Linked DNA regions of Mus musculus. The protein of the gene in region 2 purifies or fractionates together with the protein of the main gene of each other region. This does not show direct contact. Links are inferred from orthologs where the notes say so. Each region holds a gene or a part of one and is shown on either strand. Other genes may lie near its edges.

Region 1 (5,018 bases), on a different chromosome or scaffold from region 2:
GCCTTACACAACAGAGGAAGGCTTCTCACCTTGACTGCCAAGTGGTCCTCCCAGTCATTGGTGAGGCTCTTATAGAATTCGCCATACTCCTCCTGCGTGATGTCATCCGGGTTTCTGGTCCAGATAGGCTTTGTCTTGTTCAGCTCCTCCTGGTCAATGTACTTCTCTTTGATCTTCTTTGTTTTCTTTTTCTTGTCTTTGCCGCTGTCATCTTCCTCATCGGATCCCACATCTTCAATCTTAGGCTTCTCCTCATCCTCCTTATCTTCCTCCTCTTTCTCACCTTTCTCTTCCTCTGCCTCATCATCACTGATCTCCTTCTCCCGTTCCTTCTCCAACTAAATCACCAATGACACATGTAATTAATTGTGGAGAATGTAGCACCAGCAAGGCCCAGTGCCATTAGCCTGCTCCAACACTGCCAAGCCCATACTCACATAGAGGGTGATGGGATAGCCTATGAACTGCGAATGTTTCTTCACCACTTCCTTGACCCTCCTCTCCTCCAAGTACTCTGTCTGGTCTTCTTTGAGGTGAAGGATCACTTTGGTACCCCGGCCAATGGGCTCACCTACAGAGAACAAATCAAGACATGAAAAACTGAAACTAAAATACAAGAACGAACTACGCTTTTTTCGTTCCTGGTTTCTCAAGCAAGCTAAGATTCCTGTGTAGCCCCTTTGCTTGCCTTAAGAACTCACCCAAGTGCTGGCACTCACCACCCCTTAAAATGTACTTTTATAGAATACAACGTCTAAGGTTTCCCCACAATGTAGCCTGCTGCCTCACCATGGTCTGCCCGGACGGTGAAGGAGCCACCCGCAGACGACTCCCAGGCATACTGCTCATCATCATTGTGCTTCGTGATCACAACCACTTTCTCTGCAACTAGATAGGCCGAGTAGAATCCGACACCAAACTGCCCGATCATGGAGATGTCTGCACCAGCCTGCAAAGGGTTTGAAGTAAAGAGGATCAGCAACATGGTTCTTGGCCAAGTATAACCATCTGCTGCGCAAGGTAACAATCAGTTCAATGTCCAGAGATCTAGGGGTCAAAGCTGTCCTGACCAACCACTTGTACTTTTTTTCTAATAAGTGTCCTAATATGTAATACCCTAGACAGACAAATTTTAACTTAAGCAGTAACAAATTAGAGGACGGTGTGGATGAAAGGCCACACACCTGGAGAGCCTCCATGAACGCCTTCGTGCCAGACTTAGCAATGGTTCCCAGGTTATTAATGAGGTCAGCCTTGGTCATGCCAATGCCTGTGTCCACCAAAGTCAGCGTGCGCTCCTGAGGGTTGGGGATGATGTCAATTTTCAGCTCTTTCCCACTGTCCAACTTAGAAGGGTCCGTCAGGCTCTCATATCGAATCTTGTCCAGGGCCTGTAGTAAACGCAAAAAGCCAGATTATTTTATTTTTCCAAACAGTCCCTCCCCCTTCAACATCAACTGAACTGTTCTTCTCAATCACTCCCACACACACACACACTTCCGTGAAGCCTTAGAAATTCAACAACAGAATACTCACATCTGAAGCATTAGAGATCAACTCGCGGAGGAAAATCTCCTTGTTTGAATAGAAAGTGTTGATGATGAGGGACATGAGCTGGGCAATTTCTGCCTGAAAGGCAAAGGTCTCCACCTCCTCCTCTCCATGGTGCACTTCCTCAGGCATCTAAGAATGAAAGAATTACTACTAAGGACCATTATAGACACACATTTTAATATCCAGCTCAAACTTCTTTAGTCTGGGAAAGTATCCAACCCAAAGAGACAAGAGCAGCCATTTTCTTTAAAAAAGGACATTTAAGCTACAATGGCCAAGACAAAAATGACAGAAAAAAACCTAAAAGATGGGTTTTCCAGAACAGATGCCCAAAAGTCAAACTCTTGAACATTGGCATGTTCAGTGCATAGCTCACTGACTCTGAACAGAACACCTGGCAATATGGTAAAAATCCAGACTAAGTTAACAATACATAAAAAAGAACCTCAAGCAACCCCTGGTACTCACACCCCTTAACTACAATCTCCTCATTGGGGTGAGGAACAACTTTAACAGAAAAAGCAGTCTTTTTTAATTTTTATTTTATTCCACCCAGCAGGGCAAGAGAACCTTGAAGCTGTAGTCTGGGAGGCGCTCACGGGGCAATTAAATCAGGACAAAGAAATCAAGAGCTCCACCGTGACCACTCACTGTGCAGACTTGCATAGGCCGGAACCCAAGTAAAATGGTGGCCCAGCCGTCCAACGACCCTCGTCACTGCCGGACATGCGTCGGCAGGAGCCACACGGGGAGGGGGCGCCATTGAAACCCTCCCACCGCCCCAGCATCCGGGCACTGGGGCGGGGCGCCCAGGCTTCCAGAACAATCTGAGCTCCGGGGAGGGGAGGAGAAAGGGAGGGACCTAGGAATCTTCTCGTGCCTGCTCTGTCTCTCCTCCCCCGCCCTCCACTGGGAGGGCAGAAAGATCTGGAAAGGGAAAGCGCGGTGGGTTCCGGCGTCCCTGCTGTGCACCCCTCCCCAAAATCAAGCACGTTGGTACCGGCGGCGTCCGGGGGAGGCAGCCAGGCCAACCTCCCCAGGCCTTGCTGAGTCACGCAGAGCAGCCCGCCACCGCGCGGACCCTGCAGCCGCGCCCGGAAGTGGAGGGCAAACATGGCAGCGTCCCGGGTCGGCGACTACCACGTGCGGCCGCCCACCACCTGGCCGGGCCGCACCCCCACCCCACGCTCCGGGGAATCCACCCGCCCCGGGGAGCCTCGCGTGCAAGCCCGCCGGGGTACAGCCCGAACCTCTAACCTCTAGACACGTTATCTCCACAGGCTGCCCCGCCGGGGAAGGAGGCTTTGGGACAGATGAGATGGAGGCTGGGACCCCGGGAAGAAGCCCCCGGAGAGCCGCCGGGGACGAGAGACCCCGGCCTTACCTTGACGGGAAAGCCGAGTAGTAGTACAGAGCAGGGTGGTGGGCCCGGACCAAGTCCGACTCGCACGGCAAGCCTAGGCTGCGCGGGGGTGACTCAAGAGAGCTCCCGAACGCCCCCGACCGCCCTATATAAGGCGAAGCACAGCCCGGGCCCCGCCCTTGGATCCCTCCGCCTTAAAGGAGTGGCTGCGGGCCACGCACCTGCCGCCGCCCGCCCACCTTGACGTCATGGTAGCAGATCGTGGAGGGGGCGGGGAGGAGCGGGACCCCGGGCCTGGTTCCTGAGTCAAGGCCAATTCAATATCGTTTTGCACATCCCCCATTTCTGCAGGAGTAGGACATGTCCCCCCTCAAGATGAGCAGGGAGCATGCATATGCAATTAGGGATGTATCTGCGGGCGAATACCCTACGGACTGCCTCAGAAAACTCAAGGTAGGCGCTTCCACCCCCCCACCCCCCAAGAGTCCAGAACTCAGGGGACTGAAAGAGAATGGAGGTGGCCAACTCGGCTGCCATTTCCAGACCCGATCTTACTAGAATGTTCCCTACAAATCGCACATCAAGAGAAAAGGATGATAAATTCCTTGTCCAACTTTAAGGAGGCCCCCGATTCCCCCATCCCCACCCTCCCGGGTACAGCACAGCTTCAGGCTGGGAGCCGCTTTCCCCGAGGGGAGGGGCACGGGCCTGGGCTGGTAGGGACTCTTTGGCGGCCTGCGGCGGAAGGATCAGCAGCGGTGGTGCTGCGATTTCTTCCAGCAGTTTCTAGGCCTGTCTCGGCGGTCTCCACCCCTCCCCCCTAGGCTCCACCTCCCCTGCTGCGGCGGGGGCAGTGTCTTCGTCGCCGCTTGGCTGGGTGGCTTTTTTTTTTTTTTTTTTTCCCCTACCTTGATCTTACCCTGGGAAGAAATTTTCCCCAAGTCTGCCTACCGTGGGCCAGGGTTGAACGACCCTCCACGCGTGGCCCTAAGAGGCCCACATAACAGTGGGGGAGTGGAGCGCAGAGGGAGGGATAGCTGACCTGGATCGGTCACAGGGCACGGGGGCTGTGGGGGTGAGTGACTGCGGACACCTTCTAGTGAACAGAGAACCGAGCTAGCAGCTTGCGCTACTGGGTAGAACACTCCCCACCCCTCAGCCTCCCCGGTCTCCCACGTACACAGCGCGCGGGTACGTGCGCCCTCCCTATGTGAGCACAAGCTGTTTCTCAAGCTGGTTTCGCTTCTCTAGCCTCTTCCCTACTGCATGCAGCTCTTTGGACCTAGAGAGGAGCAGGTCCCAGTCTTTTCAGAGAAGCTGGAGTTCTAGGCATCCGCATGAAGGTGCTGGTCACAGGTTGGCCCAGTTCCAGGAGCCAGAAAACCAAGTTGTGCCAGTGCCTCTGTTCTAAAGGTGGCCTGCCATGTCCTTCAGCTGGCAATCTAGCCTTGCCTTTTTCCAAGGCTGCATCTGGAAGCTTGTTGGACTGATGAGCCCTCCAGTAGAGGATGGGCACTCAGTGCTCTGCTATCTTAGCTCATGCTGGCTTGTGTCCCCACACCACCGCCCACACCTTTGTTCCCGGTGCTTGCCTGCAGTCTGTCTAATGTGCATTCATTGTTAAACAGTAGTTGCTTTCTCCTTGCCTCTGTCTACTTCGTCTGTTATCATCCCATCCTGCACTGTCTGTTAGCCTCTCCTTAATTCTGTGTGTGTGTGTGTGTGTGTGTGTGTGTGTGTGTGTGTGTGTGTGTGAAGCCCATAAAGAAATCAATATATGAGGAGACACTGGGTAGGATTGCTCAGAAGGCCCTAGGGTGTTGCATTGATTCCTAATCTGAAACCAGAAACTTCAACACTCAAACCCTCTCAGCAAAAGGAGCCTAGCTGATCCCTGGGCTGGACATTTAGCTCCAGGGTAGTGTTTCCCTAAGACCCACCAATCCTGGATTCCCTAGTTCACAAACAGCACTGACTACCTCTCCTTGGCCTCTGAATGGTTGAAAGCTACTCTGTATATTTCATGGACAGGAAAATGAAGGTCTCTGTGAATAATGGGGTCACTAAACCCAGGGCCATTCCTGTTCTGAAAGTAGAATGG
Region 2 (5,183 bases):
AAGCTGCAGGAGTGGATGGAATCACGCATACACACAGATAGGCAAAAGTGCTAGGGAGCATGTCTGCTCTTGTCCCATCTCCGCCCCTCACCCCCATAGCTGCTCACCCCTTACCGGCAACATCAGCCTTTCTTTGTCATTTCTGAAGTCTTTATACTTGTTTTCTCCGCTACCATTCACGCTGTTGGAACCTCCAGTCTGAGCTGTCTGCTCCATCATCTTTATGAGAACCCCTCTCTGCTTCTATACTTATTCCCCCAACAGCCCCTCCTGTATACTGAGCCAGCCAGTGGTTAGAATTCTACTACTCAAAACCCTTTTGTAGCTCCGACTATGTTCCCGGTAGAAGCCAAACTTCTCATCACACCGAGAAGGGCCTAAGAAAACCCGAATCTGTTCCCATCCCTATTCTGACTCTGTCTTTCTTACCACACCCCTCCTCTTTCACCTTGTTTCCCTGCAATGTGTTCCTTGCTCTTCAACGAAACCACATTGTCTTCAGCTAGGCCTGAGGACTTCAACGGTCTCTCACGCCTGGAAGTCTTTTCAGTGATGACTCACGGCTCAGTCCTTTAGCCTCCTCCAACCCTCTGTATCTTTGCTCAAATGTTAGCAATACCCCCTAGCTATTGTATTCCAAAGGGAAGCACCCCTTCCAGTCAAACCTCACTCTCCCTCCCACCTGAGCTCCTCCACTCTAACACTGGAGAGGTCACCTCTTGGTTACTTTTGAAGGCAGCTTTGTTTACGGCTATAGCCTCAACAAATGTACCATAAAGAAAGCCTCTTGACATCATGAGTTAGTTTTAGGTCGGGATGGGGGAAGACGGCTACTATATTTGCAAATATCAGTGTAATGATTAACAGACAATGGCAGAGGCTAGTAAAATAGCTAAGAACAGATGTGAGAGAGGTAGTGGCCAGTCAAAGGCTTCTGTGAGTCTCCATAGTTGTGAAAGTTCAAAGAGGAATCAGTCAAGGGTAAAGACCCAAGGCGAGAGGGTGACTGGCACACTGAAAGACGAGAAGGTGGCCAGCGTGCGTTAAGTGACCTGGAGCTCGTGAGGAGAGGCCTGGCTGAACAGGTCACAAAGGCCAAATCCTGTGCAACCTTAGAGGCCAGTCTAAAGAATGCCGACTTTACCTTAAGAGCAAAGTTCTGGCCTTGAAGTATTTTAAGAAAGGAAGGAAACGTCATCTCAAATGTATTTTTTAGGCTTTAATGCGAAGGCTGGAAGCAGGGGACCAGGGGGAAGAAGTCAGATAGCGAATCTATTTTAAAGATAGGGCCAAAAAGAATAAACAGATTTCTTTAAGAAGTAGAGCGCAAATAAGAGGTTTTTTCAGCATACATGTCTCCTTCTCAAGGACGGCTCCTGCTAGTTAGGCGAGGACCCTCTAACAATCTAACGTCTAGCCAAGTGTAGTGGCTCGTTTGGGAAATCTGAGCACTCGAGAGGCTAAGACAGGAGGCTTATCAAAGGTTTGAGGCTGACATAGACTACATAGTGAGTTCCAGGCTGCCTAGGCTACAGAGACCTGGAGTGCCCAGTCATTTGGTCTTCATTGAACAGTTTATACCGCTGTTGGGGGTTTAATGATCTCCCTGCACACTCACCGGCCAGCGGAGAAGGGACTTTTCTATTGCTCACATCTATCACTAAGTCTCGGCACACAGGAGACTCTTGATAACTGTTTATTGGCTTAACAGAGAAATCTTTCAAGAATGATCCCCATCTCCCTAAATCACCTGCTTCCAGACTACAGGCTAGAAGCAGCAAAAATTCACTCTTGTTTGTGAGAAGAAAGGGGCACTTGTGGAAATGTTCTAGTTTGGGGATCATTTGGAGGTGCCAGCCTCACCCACCTGTCATCCCAAAGGCAATGGAAGTCATTTAGTTGTTCATCAAACACCAATCCAGTACCAACTGGCACTCTTGTCTCAGGGTTCAGATCCTGCAGGGGCAAAGAAAAGAAACCCAGATTCACTCTGGACTACAATCAGAGAAAACACTTCATACCATCGGTCCTGGATGGGGGGGGGGAGGGGGGGGAATCACTGTTTTGTTTGGTAAAGAAGGCCAAGTTGCAGCCAGGTCTCTCTCACCAGCCCTTGAAGCCCCACAACTAGGTCCTCTTCAGCTGGTTGGCTCAGCTTCTTCATTTTGCCTTTCTTCTTTACCTCCGCTAGATTGGGGCTGGAGTGGGGTACAGCACACTTCTTTCCACCACGCTTCTGCCAATCAGACAGAAAAATCAGAGTCTGGACATGGCTGGCTGGCTTCACCCTCCACCCCCCCCCCCCATCAGGGCAGGTCTGGGGCCTCACCAAGGTGGCGCTGGATTCCTGAAGGGGTGACTGGGGATTGTGCCTACTCTTTCGCTGTCTAGTAGAAGAATCTTGGCCGGTGGAGGTCATGGCTGAAGAGCCTCAGCTCCTGGAAAGGCTCTAGCAAAGGTGTAGTTGGTGAGGCAGCTGGAGTGTCCAGAGGACCCCACATCCCTGTCCCTTCCTCGGCCCCGCCCCCTAGTCTAGATCGCAGCCTTCACCGGGTCCATTCCCGAGCCTTCTAAACCGCCCCCACCCCCCAGGCCATCTTCTGCTAGAGGAAACCTGGTCCTGTCCGGTCCCCCTGGACCTCGCTGCTTTTATCCGATTCTCTTTCCTCATTTTGCCTATTCACTAAACGAGGTAACCCCAGGCTCAATCAGGCTCTTCTTAGGCCTGCCCTACCCAATCACCGCCCCCCCCCCATCCACTTCCCACATCCTTTCATACCTCTAATCTGCGCCCGGAACGCTTGGCTTCTGCAACCTGCCCGCTTCAGCCTATTTCCCCAGAAAAATCACCCACCTTTCTAGTCCGCCAGACCGGGCTGCCGCGGCCTCGGCAGCACCTTTAAAGACTCACTCAACTCCACCTCCTGCAGGGCCGAACCAGCGCCTTCCACTCGCGCAGATCTCGCCCCGAGCTTTCCCCGTGCCCCGCTGCTCCGAGGACTGCCCCTTTCGATCAGAATCCTTCAGACCCCACCCCCTTCCCAGACGCCTACCGTTTAACCAGGCTCCCTCAGCCCCTTCCAAGCCTCCGCCCATCTCCCGCCCAGCCACCGACGCTGGCCAATCCTTCCGTCCCTACTCACTGAGCTCTGCCTCCTTTTCAAACTCCGCCCTAGGCTCACGCCGCCAAATTCCCGGCGACCTGTGTGGCCCCGGGCACCTGATCCCTTCTTTTCCATTGGGCTGAGCTTTTTCATTTGCCCGCCCACGTCCAGCCCCCAACATGGATTCAGTCCGCCCACAACGCTTCAGGCGCAAACCACACCTCTCGCGAGCTTGGCCATGGAAACTGATCATACTGCGCCTGCGTGGGGTGCTACTCCCTAGTTCGAGACCCGGATCTGCCCCTAGCGCTACCACCCCTCCCCACACACACGCACGCACACCCCACCCCCGCATTCGCCGCTGCGGTCGTTCTGACTGGCTATGGCTGCCAGTCTCAAGTCCAGGCTAGTCATCCTAGGAGACCTACGGATCCACATCAGTTGTGTTGTGCAGTGATTCGAGAACAAATCAAAGAAGCTAGATTCCCGAGCTGCTTTTGGCGTTGACGTAACTCGCGCCTGCGGGTGACTAGTTGGAGATAAACGCTAATAATAGACTTTGGCTGGTGGCAGCCAAAATGAGCGTGATAGTAAATGCTGATAAGTTTCTGAGCTGGTGGCCACTGCGATGGTATTCAAGAAGCATCCCCAAATGTTAGCTATTAATGTTCTGCAGCGGAAATGGGGACTGGAAGGAGTCTCTACGAGGTGAGGCAGGGGTGGGGCTGCTCACTATGTCAGAAAGCCCGACTTTCGTGAGGTAGTTTGCATTGTAAAGCTGCTCTGTAGACTACACACACGGGGACTTAGATTTAGATCTTGGACAGGTCACAGTTCTGTCCTGTTTCCTTACCTGGAAAATTGAGATGCTAGTACCAAGGCCAGAATGGACTTTCGAAGGACAGTGTCTCCTGAATGGGAGCTCAGCCTACCTGTCCCCCTCCACCGAGTCATCAAACTTACAGCATGTGGTGGACCGAGGAAGGAAAATTGTCCCTGTGACTCTTTGAGATGGCCATCCCTTCTAAGTATAAATCCCACAGGTGGCCGAGTTGTCCTGATCTCCCCATGTCAAGGACATCGTTTCCTAAGGACCTGTTGGCAGAGACCAGAAAGAATCCATCTGGAGTTCTGCATCACTGACTAGCAAATAGATTGACAGTTCCATACTCCAGCAGCCAGACCCTCTGAACCTCTTGCAAATGCCAGTTTCAGTCCTCCATGTTCTCAGCACAGAACATGTTCTCAGCACGGGCTATCTAAATCTACACACACTAAAGAAAATAATAATAATACCTAAAAACATTCTAGGATGGTGATGCCCGCCAGCCGAACAATAGAGACGGTTCCTGCACAACGGGGCTCAGTAAACCTTATAAAAGCTAAGATTGCAAATAGCTTAGGCTTTGCATCCACATCTAATCTTTATGATACACTTCCTTTCTTTTAAAAATGACCTTGCTTTCATGTCCAGGCTGCTTAGAACTTCTGGCCTCAAGGGATCTTCATGTCTCAGCTTTCTGAGCAGCTGGGCAACACTGTGCCCAGTTAATCTTTCTTAAACAAACAAACAAAACAGCAACAGTCATTTGGGTTTTTTGTTTGTTTTGGTTTTTCTTTTTGGATTTTCGAGACAGGGTTTCTCTGTGTAGCCCTGGCTGTCCTGGAACTCACTCTGTAGACCAGGCTGGCCTTGAACTCAGAAATCCACCTGCCTCTGCCTCCCGAGTGCTGGGATTAAAGGAATGTGCCAGCACTGCCCAGCTTAATAACCATTTGGTTTTTTTGTTTGTTTGGTTGGTTGGTTTTTTTTTTTTTTTTTTTTTTTTTTTTTTTTTTTTTGAGACAGGGTTTCTTTGTATATCCCTGGCTGTCCTGGAACTCACTTTATAGACCAGGCTGGCCTCGAACTCAGAAATTCACCTGCCTCTGCCTCTCAAGTGCTGGGATTAAAGGAATGTGCCAGCACTGCCCAGCTTAACAACCATTTGGGGTTTTTTGTTTGTTTGTTTGGTATTTTTTGTTGTTTGTTTGTTTGTTTTTGAGACAGGGTTTTTCTGTATATCCCTGGCTGTCCTG

Evidence for each region. Proteins that work in one complex are often made in the same cells at the same time.
Region 1: the proteins of Hdac6 (region 2) and Hsp90ab1 purify together in Homo sapiens (affinity purification with mass spectrometry, with the first as the bait; 4 studies listed by BioGRID). This does not show direct contact. The link is inferred for Mus musculus from reciprocal best matches to the Homo sapiens genes HDAC6 and HSP90AB1.

Annotation. Positions count from the first base shown.
Region 1 is NC_000083.6:45,570,229-45,575,246, forward strand, and holds the start of Hsp90ab1 (heat shock protein HSP 90-beta), read right to left. Parts: upstream 3,034-5,018; 5' UTR 2,939-3,033; intron 1,684-2,938; coding exon 1,537-1,683; intron 1,392-1,536; coding exon 1,185-1,391; intron 950-1,184; coding exon 790-949; intron 572-789; coding exon 438-571; intron 339-437; coding exon 30-338; intron 1-29. UniProt on the Homo sapiens protein: Molecular chaperone that promotes the maturation, structural maintenance and proper regulation of specific target proteins involved for instance in cell cycle control and signal transduction. Undergoes a functional cycle linked to its ATPase activity.
Region 2 is NC_000086.7:7,944,796-7,949,978, forward strand, and holds the start of Hdac6 (histone deacetylase 6), read right to left. Parts: upstream 3,095-5,183; 5' UTR 2,855-3,094; exon of another isoform or gene 2,780-2,854; intron 2,450-2,779; 5' UTR 2,420-2,449; coding exon 2,330-2,419; intron 2,237-2,329; coding exon 2,108-2,236; intron 1,957-2,107; coding exon 1,868-1,956; intron 4-1,867; coding exon 1-3.